2 linked regions of the Arabidopsis thaliana genome follow. The protein of the gene in region 1 interacts with the protein of each later gene in a pairwise test. Each region holds a gene or a part of one and is shown in the gene's direction. Other genes may lie near its edges.

Region 1 (3,756 bases):
CATCATGTTTAAAACCCCAAAACAAAATCCAATTGCAAACACCGGTTTCTCAATGTACATCTCTCAAAAAAACATAGTAAACGACTGTACATAATGAAAATGGGAACTCTTTCTATGAACCATCGAAGACTCCAAGTATTCTATTACACTGGTTAGGGAGTTGAAAAGAAGTAAACCATAATGTGTCAAATCCGATCCAACATCAATTCCGTTAGCGCTTAAGAAGTCTTTTTGCATCTGCAATATCCTGCAATATAACAATAGCACCAAAACAAACTAGTACATAATCAACATTAACAACAGCTAGGAGCAAAAGCACTAGTCAAGAACTTAATTTAACCTTAATTAACAATTCGAGTTAACAAAGAAAGAAAAGAGTACTGAAAGTACCCGCTGCAGAAAAACTGCTTCTTTAGGAGAGGTAGGGAACTGCACTAAACCGATTCCAACAATTAATAGCAAAGGACACTACAACGTATATAGGTAGCTGGTGCAAAGATATACATTATTAATATTGACTAACTGAGAATAGCAATAAGCAAAAATGAGCACAACAGACTCATTACTAACCAACTATGTTTGGCTACGAGCCATAATTGCAGCCTGCAAGAGAGCAAACTAAAAGGCAGAGACAGCTACCAGCAGGCTCAAAATCTTGACCACATGCTTCATTGTCCTTGAAACAAAGTTTATGTAAGATTTGAGTATTGACAATATACCAGAAAAGAGGACTACACTAATGCATTTTCCGATTTCTTGCATATTTGGAGCTGACCATGAACGGGTGCCATTAAAGGATATCTATAGAAGTGAATTCCTTCAAATAACAAATTGCCAATTCTAAATCCATTACGCATAATTTCCACACATCTTAAGCAACTTATGTCCAGACCAGAATCTAGCATAGTCATGATAACTAAAAGAACAGTAAAATGCAACCCAAACCATCAAAATGGGAAAGGAAAAAAAAACGACTTTTCACATTTTCTTGGATCTCATAATACAAGCGGTCAGGAGCTCAAAGCCCTTTAAGCATAATTTGTAGAACCTGAATCTTAAAAAAAAAAAGAAACACAAATACATGATTTCCCACCGTTCCTCAGGATTTTAAACATTCTATAGTCAGATCCTCAGGAAATCAAAGCCATTACACAACACATTTCAGAACATTATAGGCTAAATGATTTGAAAACTTGAATCCTAAAATTCATTAAGCTGCCCCAAAACCAAGCTTCTACTAACAAAACAAACTACAATTAACCATCCGAATCAAACCATGCACCCAAAACTCGAATTGAAATTTGATATATCTAACAATGATTGAGCTGCCATCAGAATGAATTATTAGAAAATAATTTTGTCACGGTTCCTTCAGACCAGAGTAAACTCCAATCATCCGAAACTCAAAACCCTTGCGCAAAATTTTCAATCATCATTTGGCAACTTATTCAATCAAACCAACAACGAAAATAAACAAAAGGTTACATAAAACTAACCAAGCCTATGTTCTAAAGCAAACGAAATCAAAAAATTCAAACAATCAATAAGATGCTCCACTATTTGCGGGAGAGATGGAACCTTTAAGCTCACAGATCTCGCCGCCATTCTCAATGTTTCTTCGGCTGTTTTAAATAGTTGTGTCATTAGGGTTTTTATTCAGGTCTTAAAATCATGGGTATAATCGTCAATTTCACAAAATAAGCCTTTGTCCTGGATAAGCTAAACCAGTTTCCAAACAAATCTTGCTTCGATTCACAAATTATTACGATTGCAATCCCTAATTTGGAAGTCCCGGTTCCTCTTTCGATCAAATCGGAGAATTTCACGGCATGGCTACGGCTGTTGGTGGCGGAAGCGATGTGGAGGTTGGATTTGCGAAGCTTCAAGGTGAGGATTTCGAGTACTATATGCAGTCTTACTCCATTATACTCGGCCGGAATTCTAAGAAAGCCACCGTCGACGTTGATCTCTCATCCCTCGGCGGTGGGATGAACATCTCGCGCAACCACGCTCGGATCTTCTATGACTTCACTAGACGACGCTTCTCTCTCGAGGTCCTTGGCAAAAATGGCTGCCTCGTTGAAGGTGTTCTTCATCTCCCTGGGAATCCTAACGTCAAGCTCGATTCACAAGACCTTTTGCAGATCGGAGACAAAGAGTTCTACTTTCTCCTACCGGTTCGGAGCATCTTAGGCGGGCCGTTGGGACCTAGGCACCACGTCTCTGGGCAAACAAGTGTTGTTCCATACCATAATTATCAGTCGGGTCCAGGTTCTGGGTCGGGTAAGAAGGGCGTCAGGAGTAGAGAGTTGTATGAGTACGATGATGAAGATGATGATGACGACGACGATGAGGAGGACGATATGAGAGGAAGTGGAAAGAAAACAAGGAGAGATGGACATGAAGTAGTATATGCTTCCGGAGGTAAAACCAGATTGCTCATGATTGTTTGAGTTTTCATTGTGCAACTAGATATGTTTCAGATTATGATGCTTACTTGATCACATCAGGCTTGTTTCTTTAGACTTTGATTGTGGTGGTTGCTGATTGAACCTTGTTAGACTTGGATTGAATTTGAATGCTAGTGACACCACGACATTGTATCTGCTTCATTTGTGCAGAGAAGAAGAGAGAGGGAAGATCAAAGGTAGATCGTGAAGCTGATGATCAACAATTTTTGCAGCTGGAGGAAAAAGATGTTGTATCGTCTGTTGCCACTGTGCTTTCCGATTTGTGTGGTCCGGGAGAGTGGATGCCTATGGAAAAACTTCATTCGGTGGTTAGTTTTTATGAGAAAGTTCCTTGCCTTTTTCTAATACAGAATGTAGTACGAGTAATCAATTGAAACAAGACTTGTATAATGTCAAGGTGATAATTAGTGTGAAGCTAGGTCCTTAATTAGTTTTCCAATGGAAACGCGCTACGCTACTTATATGTGTCTAAGTCTAGAAAGTATGTCAGTTACTCCATAGATTTTGAATGACTAGTGTAGTCTGACTATGAACTTCTTTGTGATTCAATATGATGGCTAATGCATGGTAGTGGTTGGTCTGTGACAGATATTAAAGGAGTATGGAAACGTATGGCATCACAGTCGAGTAAGAAGATACCTATCACAAGAAGACTGGGCTATCCCTGAAGCAAAAGGTAAACCATGGTACGGTTTGCTGATGCTGCTGAGAAAATACCCGGAGCATTTCGTCATCAACACGAGATCAAAGGGAAGAGTTACCCTTGAATTCGTTTCCCTCGTTACCCTACTCTCATGAGAACTTTACCTTAGTGACTCGGATTAAGATTTAAGAAGCTTTTCTCTCTTTTCTTTGTTTCATATGTAAAATATTTTGGCATTGATTAGTAACACGCTGTGTCGTTTTTCTGCACCCAAAAACGCCAACTTCTTGGTCCTTGCAGTTGAGAGATTTTGATTTTCTTTTTCTTGATTCTTATTTTTGATAAACCCATCGAGATTTTTCTTTCATCAAAGGGCAAAAAATTCGTGCCAATTCAGAAATCGTTATGTTCGGTGGATTTGGGCCATAAAAAGAGAAAAGGCCGAAACAGAGAATGATCCAAAGTGGCTCAAGTACGTATCCAGACAATATAAAAAGGTTGGAATGTGCAAACTTAGGGTTATACTCGTATCTTGTAGCAGCCACTAAAGCAAAATTCTGAGATCGAAAAAGCTATATAAAAAAAAAAAACTGCTTCCGTTTCATCGATTTTGTCCAGATCTTCCCCTTCTTCCGGTAATCG
Region 2 (3,756 bases), 5.4 Mb from region 1:
GAAACAACCCTTGGCTGTCTGAGTAAATCCTTTTTCGCCCACTATAATGAAAGTTTTTGTTTTGGTGTTCCCTTTGAATTGCCTATGATGATAAAAACAATTATCTTAGCGGATTTCAGTGAGGTTTTTTTAAAATCAATGATCTGAATTGTTACACACACTGAGGCTTTATTAGTTTGATTTGTTTTTGTTTATTGGGGAAATTTGGTTTGCGATGATGATAAAATAGCACGAAGGTGCGTGAAGGGCAGTGGACAAAGCAATGAAAATTTGTTTTGCCGTGAGCTCTCTTTAATAAACGACTTCTCCTTCCACTGAGCATTTTTTAGATCTTCCCTAAATCTTTGTGTTTGTTATTATTGTTGTTAATAATGAATGGCGTCTTTTACCAATTCTGAAGGATTAAATATGGTTCCTTTAGGTATAATGGCATTGACGCAATATTGATTGTGGTATATCCTGATCATTTGGCTTTTTTTTCTATGTTATTTGATCCTGGAAATGCCTCACACATTTGTTCTATCTTCTTTTTCATTATTTACGAATTGGGTTTCCTCTGAATTTACGATGAGGTTTGTTGGTTGAATATAAAGTTGTTGGAGCGAGATGGATTGTTTGGAGTGCAATGATGTTTTCTTTTCTCAGATTTGGTTTTTCTAACTGAAATTGATGATTGTTCTGTTTTATTATTCGATTAAGACCGTCTCCAATATTAATCCCTATTTTTTCGTTGGAGATGCTCTTGCTTCTTCCTGTTTTAGTTGTCAAAAGTCTTATGATTGTTAATCATTTGATTAAAGACATTCGCATACAATTCTGTTATCAATAATGAGAAGGAAAATGTGATGATTTAACATACGGAACAATTATGGTTGCTGTCATTACTTATACGAGTTCGATGTTGAGAATTGTTGGTGGATAATTTGTGTTGCCTTCTTGATTTCCTGCGTTGAAACAAAAAGGTTGCCACATTTTGCTGGATGAAGAATTGTTGGTTCTGTGTGATGTTGTTTATGTGATCTTCAGGTGTGATCTTACATGAGAGACTAAAAAGAGAGCAACGGGTTTGGTTTGAGTTTGTTTAGGTCAAACCATCAGAGAGACATTACGAGATATCGTATCATACCCTTGGGCCAATTCTGCAATATGCGTTGGAGTTTTGTTAATCTTGATCATACCTTTCATATGCCTATTATCGGCTTTATTGACTTAGTTGTATCACTTGGTCCTATACTCCTTGTTCCCTTTCTCTGATAAGTCTATGACTTCGCTGTTATGATCATTGCGTTTGGTTTTTGTCGTCCCTGTTTGTAAATTTGCCAAGATTGAAAATGTAATTTCGAAGAACCAAAATTGTATCACAAGGCAAATATTTTATATACTTCTAACTCTCCCAAAATATCGAGCATTATCTTAATATCTTTACTATGTCAACTTTTGGCAAAACTTTATTAGAAATCTGAAAATAAAACTCACAAGATTAATTATTTTTCAGAAAAGAGAAACTAATATATAGGACTTACCTATATTAATTGTTTAGAGATATTCATACTCCATTTACTTGAACTTTTTTATTAAGTGTTCAGATTATGTTCCATCTCTTGTATTTTATTGCTTTTTTCTCTACACATAAGAACCTTTCAGTTTCCATTTATGAAGATTTATAAAATGGTACAGATACTTTAGTAAAATGTTGTATCATTATATGGAGAGATGTACAAATTTATATAGAGATAATATTCAGTAATTTAATTTAGACAGATCATACAAATGTTAATAACAAAAAAGAAAAAGAAAAAAGACAAAACTGGAATAGAATTAGAGAACTAAATACCTCTAATTAAACCGGATTTGATGGTAGTATACAAAACCAAAATCTTGACATTTTGTTAATCCTTCGAATACATAAGGGCAAAATAGTAAAATACCAGCTCTGTTTTTACTTATTTTCTTTCTTAAAAGAAATATATAAATACGAAGGATCGATCCTTAAATTGTTTCAGCTTTCTTTTTGTTTTCATTTTCCGGTAATATCATTTTCGTCCGACTTGTTTTCTCCTCCTTGCCGTTAAGTTCCATTGAAGAAGAAGAAGAAGAAGGTGTGATTCAACGATAAACCTAGCGAGAAAACGAACCGCATAAAATCGCCATTGTAGGTTTTCGATTTTCTCAGTCTTACATAGCTCGAAATTGATGTATAACTGGTTTTTATTCATGCTCGATTCTAGAGATTTTTAGAAAATCCTATTCCAGTGAGAATCTAGAGATTTCCATTTTGAAGCGTTTCTTCTGTTTCGTATGTAGGAACGAGACGGTGGTGTTAATCTATGGTTATGGAGGTTTGCTTGACTTTTTGAGGTTGGCTTGACTTTTGAAGTTTTGATCTGAAGAAAAGAGGTTTCGTTGTAATTGGTTTATACATCATGTCTGGGTCGAGTATGTATAAGACGAAGCTTTGTATTCTGTTCAATAAGACTGGTGATTGTTCGAGGCCGAATTGTACTTTTGCTCATGGAAATGCTGAGCTTCGTCGTCCTGGCGAATCTTCTTTTACAGGTAATGTTTTCGTTTATGCATTTGAATAGGCTATTTATTCTGGTTTAAGTTTGTTAATGGTGGAAGGATTGATGAATTTATGAGTGCTTCTTTTTATTAGAGTAAAATAGAAAAGTTTTTATTTAATTAAGTCTCTTTTGCTTAGACTTTGCAAGATTTTTATATTATACTTTGATGATTCTGTGAAGTATTTTTCTTCTGAAGTTTTGTGGTTCAATGCATTTGCTTTGTGAGTATTATTCCATATTTTATGAGATTGTGTAAAACGTTTCAGCCTACAGTGTTCTGTTTGATAAACACATGGTAATGGTATCAGTATTATACTTTGCTTTGGATTTGGTTTTCTCCATATCAACTTTTACTGACTAGTTTTGTCCTGCGGAATCATTCTGGAATATGCAGAAAGATAGCTACTCACAGGCTTAGTATTATTTTTTATCCGGGAATGGAATCTACTGGTCTTTCTGGCTGCAATTTATATTGGTTTTCTTATTGGAGTGGAATCTGCTGGGTTTTTTTGTGGTGAAATTTATCTTGGTTTTCTTATTGCTCTTGAAAGCACATTCTTTATGAAGAAAATCTATCATGGGTTTTGCGGGGTACTTATTCTTCGACAACTATGGTTTTCAGACTCCCGAGATTTGGTTGCAAGCAATGCTTGTTATTAGGATTTATCAATGCCTGTTGTTATTACTTCTGGCATTTTCATACTTCCAGTTATGTATGTGGAGCACGTGGTATTTTCTGTGATTATTTATATCTTCAATGGTCTTTCAAGCGGTTTCTTGGATCAAGAAATATGCAGTTTATGGGGGTTTGATTGTCAGTATATCAAATTTGGTGGATTTTGATTGTGTAATTAAATGGAACTTCAAGATTGGTTCTTATTTTCTCTCGTCCAACATAATCTGAAGCCTTCTCAACCTATGATTTATCAATGAGATTCAGTGACTCCACTTATTTAGTACCCAATTGTGGTTTCTTTCCAACTGCTGGTAAGAAGAGGACATTATATTGTGGTCTCTTTGAACTGGGAAGTAATCACCATTACGTTTTTCTTTATGTTACTAGTAGTTTTCTGTGATCTTATCCAAGTGTTGTTGACTGGCATGATTCTGATTGTTTGAAATGGAGTTCACATCTGTAGCACAAGTATGCTTTACTGCAAAGTCTGTTTCGTCTACTGCAGGAAGACGTCAC

What was found.
Region 2: the proteins of FHA2 (region 1) and AT3G21810 interact in binary tests that used the Arabidopsis thaliana proteins (3 or more experiments, as listed by UniProt).

The regions. Positions count from the first base shown.
Region 1 is NC_003074.8:2,296,139-2,299,894, forward strand, and holds FHA2 (SMAD/FHA domain-containing protein), read left to right. Parts: upstream 1-1,747; 5' UTR 1,748-1,829; coding exon 1,830-2,424; intron 2,425-2,621; coding exon 2,622-2,779; intron 2,780-3,059; coding exon 3,060-3,269; 3' UTR 3,270-3,434; downstream 3,435-3,756. UniProt on the Arabidopsis thaliana protein: May play a role in the control of plant organ development and specifically in the regulation of stamen development. Does not show transactivation activity in yeast.
Region 2 is NC_003074.8:7,682,429-7,686,184, forward strand, and holds the start of AT3G21810 (Zinc finger C-x8-C-x5-C-x3-H type family protein), read left to right. Parts: upstream 1-1,927; 5' UTR 1,928-2,152; intron 2,153-2,304; 5' UTR 2,305-2,423; coding exon 2,424-2,556; exon of another isoform or gene 2,557-3,684; coding exon of another isoform or gene 3,685-3,745; coding exon 3,746-3,756.